Neodiprion lecontei: one gene and its partner. The protein of the gene in region 1 purifies or fractionates together with the protein of each later gene. This does not show direct contact. Links are inferred from orthologs where the notes say so. Each region holds a gene or a part of one and is shown on either strand. Other genes may lie near its edges.

Region 1 (5,466 bases):
TGATCACCACTGGACGGCAACAGACATTTACAAACTTGGCGCATTTGATTACAATCTTGAACCTGCGATTGCATCTGATCATACTTTATGGAGAAAAGTTCTTTCTTTGCTTGTACGGATTGACGAGTTGCCTGTATCTTGAGAAGTTCTTGCCCTTTGGAATGATTATAAGATTTTACTTTTGGGTCAATAGAATTTTGTCCAAGGAAATTAAGAGTATCAAGAATGCGATCCACTTACGTTTTTTACGAAGTAAGAATTCCTGTGTTTCTCGCTCTTCTTCAGCAGCACGAATTCGCTGTCTCAAATCGTTTCTTTCCGCTCTTATCTTAGAGGTTTTTTTAATTATTTCAATCACACTATCTTCTGCATTTTCTCTCAGTTTATGCAGTAAGATATTTTTCCTTGCTTCCAAGACTTCCGATGTGGGATGTAGATTGTCGGCGATGTGATCCCATAGCAAGCCGACGATTCCCTTTGATAATCTAATTGAATTAATACGAACAGGTAAATGAGTTTAACCATTGTACTGCAAATCAGAAATCGGTATTGATCCAAACTCACGTTTGTTTTGTAGATTCGTTGCAAATCGACGGTGGACATCCCAATCGGTGTGTCCATGTAAAACTGTCCTCGAGTTTACTCATTTTTATCGATGGATTTAGATTGATGAAGATTTATTCGCGAAAGACAGCACTACTCTTTCGCATCTACGACACATCATCGAAATTCTTTATACTTTACGTCGCGTTTTGTCATTTTCATGACACGTCCAGTATTCAGTAACGAACGAATTCGAAATAATTGTTGAGCAAATGTTGGGCGATGCTAACTCTATCTCTATTTTGCTCCGCGAAGTAACGAGAACCGAACGGCTGATTCCAAAGCGTCCCTGTTTTTAGGTTAGAACATTATGTTAGGTTAGGCAAGGGTAGCGTACCGTCACGATTGAAACGTCAAAGTGGTGAAAGCTGAGTATTTTGTCGTCTTAATTTCTTATTGAAAATGTCTAAAATAACTGGATACGACACGCACGACGATGGCCCAGGTTTTGTGGGCATTAGATTTTGCCAAGAATGTAATAACATGTTGTATCCTAAGGAGGACAAAGAGAACAAAGTGTTGATGTACGCGGTAAGTAGAATTTATTCGTCGTTGCTTGTCAAGTTGGGTTGTTTCGACCGAGAAATTTAAGTAAGAATTCGTAAATAATATCCGTGATTGATTTACTAAACAAAATAATTTAATATTTACTGACTTAACGTGTTGTTTTCCAATTACAGTGCAGAAATTGCGACTTCAAGCAGCTAGCCGACAGCAACTGCATTTACGTGAATAAAATTATGCACGAAATTGAGTAAGAATTATTTTGCTTGATTTTTAACAATCATAACATAACGTGTAACTAATGGACATGTTTATCTACTCTGTACAGCGAACTGACCCACATCGTCGCCGACGTTATATCAGATCCGACACTGCCAAGAACTGAGGAGCACCCCTGTCCAAAATGCAATCACCGAGAATCTGTATTCTTCCAAGCACAAACCAGACGAGCTGAGGAGGAAATGAGACTTTATTACGTCTGTACAAATCAGCACTGTTCACACAGATGGACAGAATAAATTTTAACACATTCTGTATGCAAACAAAATTTAGATTTTAATGTACATATACTTCTGGTCCTGTTATAGTTCTCTAGATGACATCTCATTTCAATTAGTCTTAACTTAAGGTGAGATAATTAAGGTATATAAGTAAGTTAATGAGAAAAGCTTCACCTTTTATTGCAAGACATTGAATAAACTATATTTGCAATAAATTTTTTTTAAAAGAAAATAATTTATTTCATCATTTAAACATAATATTTACAGTAATCTACTGCGATTTAATTTTTTTTTGGAATTTGAAAGTCCCAACCTTGCACTGCTGAAAGATCCACGATATTTTCAATCAGAAAAAAACTGATCGTTAACTTCTTTTTTTTGTCCTACGCCAACGCGCGGCCTCGAGGGGACGGCGAGTGAGAATGTACTACACAAATGCACTGCATACATTCACGCTGTCATACACGAATGTACATACGTCGTAAGCTCAACTCTTGCTAGAAACGTCTCCTTTTCTAGAGCTCAATCTCGAAGCAAATACACGAGGGATACACAAAAAAAATTAATCGTGAGGTGCTTGTTTAGTCGTATCTCTACACTTGGATCGCGAAGGTATGAGTCACTGTGATTATCTACAAGCTGATGCTGTCTTCATATTCGTTCAAATCAATTAATGGGTTCATCGTTTACAAAGAATACGAATAAAAACATGAACAGGTATGTATATGCATAGACAAATTGACATCGGATACGTTATTCGGAGATTCTTGTACAGAAAATCTGTCTGTAATCCTTCAAGTCCTGTGTTGCGTTGAAAGTGACAGACTTTCATTTATAACCTATAAATAGAAGGAAAATTCGATGTAGAAATCTACGCTATGTAAGACATAAATTTGACACGGGCTGGAAATTTTGATTCGATTCACCACATCAGTGAAACCGCCTATTAGACTTTGATATAATGAAACAAATGACAATAAATACCGCGCCAGGTACAATATCAGTTAATAAATCAATATCCTTGTATTCAGCAATAATACGTCAAGGTCAAACAGCAGCATGGGAAGTGAAAATAACGCAAGCAACTCCAGGCCATTGAGCATCCAAACAGTCAGGGCTCAGAATGATTCGCGACAATCGCATCCGCAATCGATGCCAACTCAACCAAGGCAGCCATCCAATCTACAAGGGCTGCTTCGATTTGCCATGGAAGCTAGGCAAGAGGAGAATGCTTCACAGTCTTCGCAGTTCCAACCGCTGGATCAGGAGGTATGGAAAAAACTATTCAGTGGCAAATGAAGTCCGGCTTGTTTTGAAATTAATTCTATTTTTTCATCAATTAAGGAAAATAAGCTTATATTTTCTTTTCTCTGTATAGCGACAAGCGTTCTTGAATCAAGCGTTGTCTTCTATGACTGTAAATGTGATAGAGGAACTTCAAAAGTCGATAAAAGTGTTGTCCAGTGCAAGCGAACTCCAGCTTGAGAATGAACCTTCCCAATACGATAATGCACTGGATGTGATCGCAAATTATGTCGACAACATGGACACTGCAAATGACTTTTACAAAATTGGAGGCTTCGCGATATTCGAACCCTGCCTTAATTCTAAGTACAGCAGTCACAGATGGAGGGCAGCTGACATTATCGCTGAGTTGACGCAAAATAATCCATACTGTCAAGAAAAGGTCTTGGAGTTTGGTTTGATGCCGACATTACTGCATATGGTAGACACAGACCCCTCAGAACAGACCAGAATTAAGGCCTTATATGCAGTTTCTTGTAAGTCCACATTTTTACATAATATGTCATCATTCTGTATTCATAAACTAATCAGAAACGATTCGAGAGAATTTATATCTACCATGATCACCGATACAGACAGATTTACTAATATTTGATTTTAAAAGTTGCCCTGCCTCATTCTTGCTGAAGAATAAATTGGAAGAATAAGTTCAGAGTATGTAATCAATTAACTGAGTTTATGTTGCTATCACGATGTTTCATCATTTAGGTCTGGTGAGGGAGAACCCAGTATCATTGACTCACCTGAATGTCAATGATGGCTATTCAGTTCTGCTAAGGGCATTGCAAAGTCCAATAGAAAAACTGCAGATAAAATCTGCCTTCCTGTTATCATCTTTATGTAGCAAAGATGGCAATCCCCATAATTTAAAGACAACTCTTGTTAATATGGGTTTGATCGAACAAGCGGCTGGTTTGCTGGCAATGCAAGGTCTTCATCCAGATACAAGGTACTAAATTCCGTTACTTCACTTACAAAATATTTCTGTCCGAACTGCTAACGGAATTAATATATATGGATTCTTCTTTTTGTAAATAACTCAAGGGACCAGCTATTGAGGGTACTAGCTGGATTGGCCAAAAATAACTACTTGCCAGCATTGAAGGAATGCAGAAGGCCGCAACTTTGCCTGAGGCAGACTCTAGAACGTCATCAACGTGAACTAAGGGCAGAAGAAAGTTTCGACGAAGCTGACATGTGTGCTCAGCTTTTAGATCAAATATTTTCAGATCATGAGACAAATCAGGAGAGATAGCCGATCTCTTGCGTGCAGCCAGATCGATGATCTGCCTAACAGAGTTGTAATTCTTGTTCAATTGTAACACAAAATATGTACAATAAACATAAATATTTATTTTTTTCCCTTATTCGAGTAACTTGACGTTTATAACTGTACGCTAATACAGATTACCACTATGTATATGAACAAATAATTTGTTGAATATGTGCAAGTACTTTATACAGATAAAATCCTGATATTGCCAACAGAGCGTTGTTGCAATCAATCATTCAATCGATAAGTCCGTCTGCCCTTAATACACCGTTGCACGTGCACATTCGCGTCTGGAGGCAATTAGTGACTAATGAATGTATCCGTTATGCGATAGGTTGATAATTTTTTGTGAACGACGATACCTATCGAATATTCCGTTATTCGTGATCCGAATAATGCAATTCAAGTAAAACTACGTAGGTATACGTGACCAAAGCGATCATTAAAAGTTTCATTAAATCTTACTCGAATCTGTATAAAAAATAAGGAAGGCAAGGAAAATAAGTTAATTAAGTTGCGAAAAAATTTTTCATCTGGTTATATGGGTTGAACTTTGTGCTGATACGCGGCATTGGTACGCCACGCGTCGCAAAGAAAGTTGTGATTCGGCCGCTGGAATTTAATTTTTGTAATACACTAAGCAGAAGCGCGCGAGGTCTTTAGGCTTGGGATTTATTTAATTGTTCGCGCGTGACGTAGCGGGAAGCAACTCGACAATGTCTGAGGATAAGAAAAAATCTGGAGAACCTGCAGATGCGGAATTAAACGACTTATTGGATAGTGAGTACTGACGCAAATTACATTTTCATTTACGGCGTAATCTCCGTTTGCAAAAATCAGCAACGACTTGGTGATGAAAAATTATTATGCACAAACATAACCTATAACCACTGAAACGAACAGCGTCTATAGCTGTTATTTTCATTATTTAGCGATAATTATGAAGTCAAGATTATTTATAACCTTCCAATGAAATTTCTGGCCACCAGATAATAGATCAAAATTTTATTTTATACAGTCTTCCTTTTTCAATAATTTTACTGTTATGTAATGTTAGAAATTGACCTAGAATTTTTGTCAATTGTTCCATAACACCTGCTTAGTCAATTGTTGTCTTGGTACAAAAAATAAAATGCATGCTTTATCCGTTTATTATTAGGAATTCGATATATGTAGGTCATCTTATCAATTTAATTCGGTTTAACCTTAGTTTTTGCAATTTTAGTACGCAGGTTTCATCAGATGTGAATTTTGAATTTGAAATCAATGTAATAGCAAACT
Region 2 (8,933 bases), on another chromosome or scaffold:
CTCGCAGGCTTCGTCCTTGCTTTATACTACTAGGTTTCGTGCAAAACGCGTGAAAATAGACCGTTTCGAAACAGAGCACGTAACGTCTGTTTATTCAAATTTTACCACACAGGAGCGGAAGGTGTTCGTTCCTCCCGGCACAGCAATTTGATACCATATTTCATCTACGGCCCCGCGATATCCCGTTATATCGTAAAAAGAATAAAAACGGGTCAAAAGATAAAGTAAAATGGAAAAAGGTCGAAAGCACGCCGTCGCGCTAGTTTTTCCTTTCATTTTTCACCATTTTCAAAGATTTACGCACTTTTCATAACACAAATGTTAAAAATTTTCACCCAACAATGCCCGCAGTGATATCTGCAATTCTTTAATCACTTACCTGGCTTCGGTAATCGACAAAATGAGAAACGGAACGGAGCTTTTTTACGAATTTTTACTTTCGAATACCCTTTCGCTACAAGGCACAAAATTTAAAAACACTCGCGTCAGTTTTCGAGGCAACGAAAAACAACCGCTTTCAAATTTTTGGGATGCTTTTAGAGATTAGCCGCAGTCTTTGAATTTGGCCCGGAAGATTTCTCCAAAGTTCAAAGTCCAAACATCTGCGTAAATTTAATTAGGGTTAATGATATTCGAAGTGACGATTGGCATTCGGAAAGATTAGCAAAATTTCTCACCCTTCCGGGCGCCTTTTTACCCAACGAAAGTTTCACGTCGTGATGGAATGGAAATTTTCGAATGTCTGATACTGCCATATTCCAGTATAAAATACGTTATTCAAATAAAGTCGAATTTAATTGCAAAACTCGTTTGTCGTCGAGGTTTTTACTTCATATTCAAACAATGCGTCAAAATGAAGACTGAACAATTTGTACGAAATTTTTCACGCCTTGATGTTCATCTAATCTAAACTTGAAACTGTGATCCGGTTCACTGTTCATAGCACTGAATTACTCGCTCATATTACAAAAATTATCGTTAAAGATCATTCGTAACGTATAAAGATTATTGTAATTTGATTATCACCGTAGAGGTGATTACAATAAAAGGATTTAGGATTTGATTGGTTATCATTTTTTTTTTTTTTTTCGTTACTTCTCTTTTTTATTATATAAATAAACTTTACTCGTTAAAACATTTATATAATACGTTTATTATGTACACGTTAAAAAAGTAAATATCGACTTTTACTCCGGCGAATATCGAGTAAGATTTCCTTAACGTCGAGCCTAATTATAGCAATACCCAAGAGACGTAGTGAGGATAAATCCGGTCACCAGCGGACAACCCTTCGGTATTATTCTGCTTAACATCTACGATCATATCACGTTGCGAAAGCGAAACAAATGACTCAGCTCACGGATTAGGAATAATCAGATACAACATCGCACAACAAGCGCTCAGTGGTTACTCTTCACCGGGCAGTTCACGGACGGCTAATAATGAATGTCTGATGAAAATACTTTTTTTGAAAATTTCAACACTAGACGCAAACAACCTCAGAAAAACAATAATAACAATAAAACAAAAAAGCAGTTCAATAACGATATACCATAAATATACACTGGTCCTCATGCATTTCTCAACGTCCATTACTATCACAAGTTATCGAATCTTTTCTCAAGTACAAGACGACTTTCTCTCTGAAAGCAATCGCTAACTTTATAGACACAAAGTGTTGATGAAAGAACCATTTCGACATGTATTATTGAACGGTCAATATACGAGACGATTTGACAAAACTTGACCGAGTTCTTGAATTATCTCAGTCATTTAAACACAACGATTTCACCGAATTTTCTAAAATTACCTTCAAGTGCAACCATTTTTCAGTAAAGAAGAAACTAGATATCCCATTTCAACTATGGACATACCTCGGATTATAGTCTAGAATTTGAGCCGCTGTGTTGTACTTCAGATCCGCTACTGCACTCTTGTAGGGTTTTCAGAAGATCTTTCATATGCTCGACGAGGGCGTAATTAGACAAACTTCTTGGTCTCAACGTTTTACTGTAGCAGCTTTTATACAGAGCAGCAAGGTCTTCGCATCTGTAATAAGATGGAAATTCGATACCGCATGTTAACATAGTTTCACAATGACTTACTTATGTCAATTGTGTTTATACAGTCATTATACGCAAGAAAATCTCGCTCTGCTTACTCTTTTTTTTTCCCACCGGGATTTTTGGCAATGCAAAGCTTGGCGAGAGACCGAAGCAAAAATTGCAACCTCTGTTCTAGAAGAACAACAAGCTTTTCATCTTCTTCCGTCAGTTTTTCGTCGTCAGTTTTCTCTGTGACTACAGATTTTTTTTCATTTTTATCATCACAGACTTCAGACATGTCTGGTTGAAATTTAACGCCCTTGTTTCTCTCGTGTAAAATTTCAAGGATGGGTCTACATTGCAGTATTAAATCCACCCCACTCTGATAGAATTTCAATTTACTGTTAAACGTTGTTGAGCCTGAAATATGAAGCAACAGGTTTATATTCAAACTGCTTAGAATCTATTGTAGCTGATGGTGCGTTATTTCATCTTAGACTTGCTTACGCACATTGTGCCTGAAATTCCACCAAAGCAACGCGCTCCATCTGTACAGTAAGAAACTCCGTAGTTTGTTCCAAAGACAGTAACAACTTTGCTGCTTTTTCATAGTACAGCTTGCAAAGTTGTAAAGTTGTTTTTCTCTTGTTCGCATCGACGTCTGCATCCATTTCTCTGTACACACGATGGTAAAAGGAAGCGAGTCGATGCTGAATATTCGCAGCTCTGAATTGATAGACAGGTTGCCTTGGACCCGGTGTCTCTGTGTCACAATGTTTCAAAGCTTTTTGAAGAACCTCAACTACCTCTCTTTCGAGTTCTTCTTTGCTCTGGAATATTCGAATGAATACAAATTTAAAGAATCACAATTAACTGTGACAGAATAAAACAGCAAATTCCGTGTATGATTGCAAAAAACTTTTTTTATTAGGAAATTTTTTGAACTTTCACATACCAACCTTATTTTCAGAAGTTGGATAGTCCTGTAACAACGAAGCCATTGTGTATAACGTTGTTGATAATTCCCAGGTGACTGTGTCCCAGATAACGGTGTTAGATTTGCGAGTTCCCAAAACTTGCAACGCTTTTTGATAGCTGATAAGTGCTTTGTTGTAAAAATACCTCTCTTGCGTTTGTTGTTTCATGTGAATGTGAGCGCAAAGACGCATGAGTCGCCCTGAATTCGAATGTAATAGAGCTAGATTTGCTTCATCGTGCACTGCTTCAAATGTCTTTACACCAGCCTCCAAGTGTGTCAAAGATTGATTAAGCAGCGTTGCAACATCCGTGGTTGTATCATCTGTACTTTCTTCTTGCTGATGGCAAGCTAAAACAAGTGTACATTAAAACAGATGACTAAAAATACACCTTATCATAGACGGTAAATCTGAAATATCGCATACCAGCTTGATTCATGTACAGAACACCCAACTCATTGTGGATGTTTCCCAAACGTCTTAACAAATTATTTTTATCATTTTCCAGAGGCGCCAGTGAAAGTGCTTTTTCATAGCATTTGTAAGAAGCCTCTAACATTACCTCGAGACTGTCCAAGGTTTGAGGCAACAGCTCGACACCGTCTGCAAATAATCATTTACATGGATATTAGTTTTCAATGAGTACAAAGTCAAGGAAGCGAGCGTTCATGGGGGAATAAAACTACTTAATATACTTCATCTCTATACTTGCTTATAACTCACCTGATTTTATATTTTTGACATGGTATATTTCATCGAGAATTTTTGGGTCAATGTTCTTTAGCTCATACTCGTTTCTGTGCTTATCAATGTTATTCCAGTCTTGAACAATCATAAAACAGCTGTCGCCAGCTCTTCCCAGTAGGTAGCTGATCAGTTTATCGTTCTTAATGTGACAGAACGTTTCCATGATTTCCTGGCACCCCAGAACTGCTAATATGTATCTCAACGACGCTCCGTAATTGTTTCTAGAATATTCGTTTTCTGCCAGTACAGTAAAGATTAAAGACGTTTTCTCATATAACAGGGTCTTAAGATGTGCATTCCAGTTAAGATTGTCGCTCGCTTTTGGGGCCTGCCAAGTTGGCAATGTTTCCACTGTAGATTTACACAGCAAAGCCTTCGGTGTGGCGTCCTGAACTGTTGGTTTTGACACGGTTCTGTCTCCCTTCTTGTTTTTCTTTGATTTTCCTTTGTTCTTTGGACTCATTTCTACATTCGACGATGTGTCATCCGAGGTCTGCTTCAAAGGCACATATGGCATAGGAATAGCCTGGAAAGGTTTCGCCATTCTTGGATGCTCTTCCTCTAATTCTTGCCCGTTTTGTCCACATGCTTCTTCGTCTTTTCTTTGCTCGTCGTCAGAGGAATGTTCAGTTGGAAAATACTCCAAGCATTCAAGTCCATTTTTAACGTGCTCCAACGCAGCTTTACACCTCTCTTCAACCGTGCCACATAATGGTGGCGGTTTATACTTCAGCTCCTCATTCTCTCGATATCCTTTCACTGAAATCAAGTTGAAAAACAGTCAGAAGTGCGTGAAAACTAAATGCATAGAAAAAAATTCTGCCAATAATTTAGAACTTTTTCAATCAAATAAATAATGCTTACTGGGAGCTAGGCTCAACGATTTGATGGCCACGCTAACTTCCTCATCAAAGTTGTCTATATTACTTTCTGCCTCTTGATTAGCACTGTAATCGCTTTGAGCATCTTCTTCGTCACTTTGATCCATTAAGCCAGGGCTGGCAGGATCTGTATCAGCCGGAATATATAGATCCGAAAGCATGTAGTGTGCCGAAGTAACAATTTGGGGATATTTTTTCTTTGACAGCAGCTCCACACAGTTTTTCAACAGCATTCTAATGGTTCCCTGCTGCCTGCGATAGTCAGACGAATATTTCATATTCCTAGCGACACGGTAGAGTAACATAGCTACTGGTACAGTGAATGGATTTTGTCCTTTTTCATCGGAGAAATCGGTACAGAGCGAAGTTAAGTCATATAATTTGACAACATCATCATCCTTGCCTTGAATGGAAAAAATATTCATTATGATTCCTATTTTCAATAATGTACAAAACTATCATAATGATCATAATAACATAAAAGATTATAAGAATGCTTTACCTTTGAACAGCCAATAAGTGTGCCCAGCTTTTGTTGCATTACTTTTTAGAAAGCTTAGTATATTTTGGGCTACATCTCTAATGACTTTAGGGCTGAATTTGGAATTGTCTAAATTGGGTAGATCCTCCGTTTTGATCAGCTCATACTTCTGGACGATTCCGTCGAGATGGTAGCACATAACAACTTCTGGTACGTTACACATAAGGTTGTCCAACCAATAATCGATTCCAGTTAAAACATTAATCGGCTTGGCCATATCCCTCAGTCTCAAGCTGATGCAGGGATGAGTCTGTCCACCGAATATCGGCATGTCTGTCCCAATCAGCATTTGGATATTTTCAAAAGTCCAAACAACATTTCTAGCAAAATTATGACTGTGATTTGGATCGGGTAATTTCTCTTCTCGTGTCGGCTCAGGTAGCTGTGGTTCTAGAGGCTCAACGGGCAGCTTCGGTTTCTCGCTTTGCTTCGTATTGTCGGCAACAACCAGAGAATGATAAAGAAACTTGGAGACAAGATTTTTTTGCTGCAACGTATTCCTGCTGTTCGTTTTATGAAACAGTCTCTTTTCTTTACCCCCGACGCTATTATACACATGTCCGTAGATAAATTTCTTAAGCCATTCCCAATCACTCTCAGCCTGGCGAAGCAGATACTTATGAATGTCAAAGTCATCAATCAGTAGAGTATTTTCAACTCTATGCACCATCATGGAAACTAATGCCTGACTGTAAGGTAATTTAAGGAGTTTCTTAATATTCTCTGCATCTGAAACAACATCCACTTCCCCAACGCAATCAGGAAACATGTGAGCCATTCGAAAGCTAGAAAATCCCGTATTGTGAGACCAAACGCTTTGAAGACCATAACTTTGCGCCGAAGTACTGAGCCAGTTACTCGGTGGTAGATTCAAATCTGTGTTACATTGCAGTGTAGCATAAGAGGCTGGCGCTGCTACCGCAGAATACTTGACAACAGCCGTTGACTTGACTGGCTTCTTGGGCGAGTCTGGAGACATTCTGTCACCTGTCTCTTCCTGAAAAAGGAGTATCACTTATACTACAAACAACGAAACAGATTATTCTTAAGCTTTGAACAAAACAAAATCGGCCGTCTTTGGCGAAAAGGATGTCTGGGTTTAAATTTTATTCAATTCTCTCCACCGGTTTTTCAACAAATTCCATTGGCTCGAAGACATAATCGAATGTTTTTCCGTTACTTCTGTTGATAACATTGGACATTCGTACGTACTAGATAGAGTATTGTTTTCATATTGATCTAACCTATTGTTTTGTAGCAAAGCAACTTGTTCTCACCTCTTCGAGGACGGTGTTCTCTTTACTAGACATTCTAATCGTTTTTATACCGTGGAATACCGTCACCGGTCACGACTGTATCTTCCAAACATAACTTTTAACGAACATAAACATCACGACACAACCATCACGCACAATGTTTCGTCGCCGATTGCCGAATGTTACCGAATGTCGGATTAACGGTTACTGTTAGGGGGTTCTGGAAACTACTAGCAAAATTGAGGTTATGTTACACGCACCACTGAAATGTATGTATAGAACTACATTTCAGTGGTACGCACCCCTGTGTAGATGCGTACTTGCGCATGCGCTGTAGACTAACTGACTTGACACAGATGATGATGGGTGGCTTGAGCGTAACGTCACTGACTGAATGCGCAAGCTTGTATGAAAATCGCTTATCCATCCGTCGAGCACAATCCGAGCACACGTGACTTCTCTGGACCAACCGACGTGATTCTGGCTAATTTTTTCACCTCATTGTCTGTATAAGCGTTCGAACGTGTTGTGGAAAAATTGCGCTTCAGTCTATTCAGTTCTAATGTTTAAACAGACAACGTTGTTAAGCACATCACACTTGCGCAAAGTTACTCAATTCTATACTCGACTCCTGCTTGGCTAATTTCGAAGTTGCAATTTAACTGTCAAATCATGTTTTAAAAACCAACCTCACATAAACAAGAGACTCTGTCAAATATTTTGAAAGCCTGTTTTTACAAGGTGAAATAAAATGCAGGCGCAACAGGATCTCAATGAGAGTCTACCCTTGCCGGCTGAGGAAATGCCTGAATGCTGGGAGAGGGATGATCGTATGAACTCCCTGTTTGCACAGTTTCGAAACCGCTCTGCTAATCCACAGGACTGGGACTCGAAGTATAGATTTTGGCGTGGTTTGATAGCAGATTGGTCAAAATACAGGAAGCGTTGCAGTTTCTCTCTATCCGATCTGAACAAGGCCTTCAAGCGTAACGGTAGATCCCCCGCCTGCTTGTCGATTGTCCTTCAGGAATTGCACAGGTGAAAGACACACTAGGATGTGCATAAGAATTTAATCATGATTACAAAAACTCGTCCGAATCGTTACTCTACTTTTCCTAATTCTTTCAGAAATGGTGAGATTGTTCCAATGTTGAATTTCATTCGCGAATCCCCCAATTCTTGGGGAGGGTGGGCGGTTGATACTCTTGTAAAACGACCGTTGTTCTGGTCATTTTCTGTGCTAAAAAACAGCATAGTAGAGACATCGGTAGATCCAGAGACCAGATATGTCCATTTAGAGACAGTCAAGGAATTAGGAGAGCTGATTCTCTCGACAATTAAGAAAAATGAAGAGAATACTCTTTTTTCTATGTCGGACATAACGAAAAATTGCATAGAGAAGGTGGATATAAAGAAAGGTAGTTTGTCTGATGATGATGTGAAACTTGCTATGATATGGTTGCGTCTCAACAAGAAAGCTGCATTTCATCTTAGTCCTGAACGAGACAGTAACGATACGCTAGTCAAGTTGTCAAACACCCATGTTAAAGAAGTAACAGAGGCTGAGGAAGGTTTATACCAATTGGAAAAGCAAGAAGAAACCTTGATCAAAAACTTGGAGTTATTGGAAATGGAAAAGGAAACCGTTATCAAGAATGCAAAAGCATATTTGGCCAATGGAATGCGACAAGTTGCCAAAAGTTGTCTAAGAAAAAAAAAAGAGCTTGAGAAAAGCATCGAAAAACGCGCAGCTGCAATTCAAAACATACAAATTATCATCACTAGGGTTCGCGACATGCGTTCTGACTCTGAGGTGAACAGATATTGATTTTTTCATCAATGACAATGCGACAGGAATGCAACCAAATATAACAGAACTTCTGTAAAATGTAATATGGGTCAATAAAATTATCGTTGTTTTACAGGTACTTAATTCCTACAAAGCAGGAGCTGCCGCCTTGAAGCAAAAATTGGCAGAAGATGGCCTTAACGAAGACAATGTTGCCGATACCATGAACGATCTTTCAGAGGTGAGCTGCACTGTATTTTTTTCTATCTTTAGTCCCAACTTCTGCAATTATATTTATGGAAAAATAATACGAAGCTCTTCAAAATCAACAGAACATTTCTGCATTCATCCTAATCCAAGTCTTTGTACGGATTAAATCTTAGGTACTGGAAGAATTTAGCGAGATGCAATCAGTTCTAACTAAACCAGTCGACTACTACGATTCCGATCTTGAAGACGAGTTAACCGAGCTGCTCGCGGAATCAGAACATGATGACTCAATCAACAATCCTGAAAATAATTCTGGTAAATCACAAAGTAACTCCAATGTGAACGGTGATAAGAAACAGCCAAACATTGATAAAGAATTCTCATCCCTGCGTCTGGAAGGTAATATTTTTAAATGCAATTTGCCATTTACACAAGCCCTCTGAATTATGATTTGTTTTTCTTCTATCCCCACTCACCGGTTTTTTGT

The links.
Region 2: the proteins of hsp70-binding protein 1 (region 1) and erythroid differentiation-related factor 1 purify together in Homo sapiens (affinity purification with mass spectrometry; 3 studies listed by BioGRID and IntAct, counting the BioPlex papers as one, with this or other methods). This does not show direct contact. The link is inferred for Neodiprion lecontei from reciprocal best matches to the Homo sapiens genes HSPBP1 and EDRF1.

Annotation. Positions count from the first base shown.
Region 1 is NC_060263.1:34,405,606-34,411,071, forward strand, and holds hsp70-binding protein 1, read left to right. Parts: upstream 1-2,075; 5' UTR 2,076-2,280; coding exon 2,281-2,324; intron 2,325-2,638; coding exon 2,639-2,876; intron 2,877-2,985; coding exon 2,986-3,388; intron 3,389-3,620; coding exon 3,621-3,861; intron 3,862-3,956; coding exon 3,957-4,167; 3' UTR 4,168-4,279; downstream 4,280-5,466. Other genes in the region: uncharacterized protein LOC107222673, read right to left, coding at 1-154, 241-485, 565-647; DNA-directed RNA polymerase II subunit RPB9, read left to right, coding at 1,006-1,134, 1,284-1,357, 1,436-1,625; peroxisomal biogenesis factor 19, read left to right, coding at 4,902-4,965. UniProt on the Homo sapiens protein: Inhibits HSPA1A chaperone activity by changing the conformation of the ATP-binding domain of HSPA1A and interfering with ATP binding. Interferes with ubiquitination mediated by STUB1 and inhibits chaperone-assisted degradation of immature CFTR.
Region 2 is NC_060265.1:27,244,254-27,253,186, reverse strand, and holds erythroid differentiation-related factor 1, read right to left. Parts: upstream 6,820-8,933; 5' UTR 6,502-6,819; coding exon 6,469-6,501; exon of another isoform or gene 6,436-6,468; intron 6,189-6,435; coding exon 5,153-6,188; intron 5,054-5,152; coding exon 4,634-5,053; intron 4,529-4,633; coding exon 3,746-4,528; intron 3,626-3,745; coding exon 3,449-3,625; intron 3,373-3,448; coding exon 3,005-3,372; intron 2,876-3,004; coding exon 2,557-2,875; intron 2,466-2,556; coding exon 2,162-2,465; intron 2,050-2,161; coding exon 1,881-2,049; 3' UTR 1,135-1,880; downstream 1-1,134. Other genes in the region: charged multivesicular body protein 7, read left to right, coding at 7,199-7,485, 7,576-8,260, 8,373-8,477, 8,620-8,845. UniProt on the Homo sapiens protein: Transcription factor involved in erythroid differentiation. Involved in transcriptional activation of the globin gene.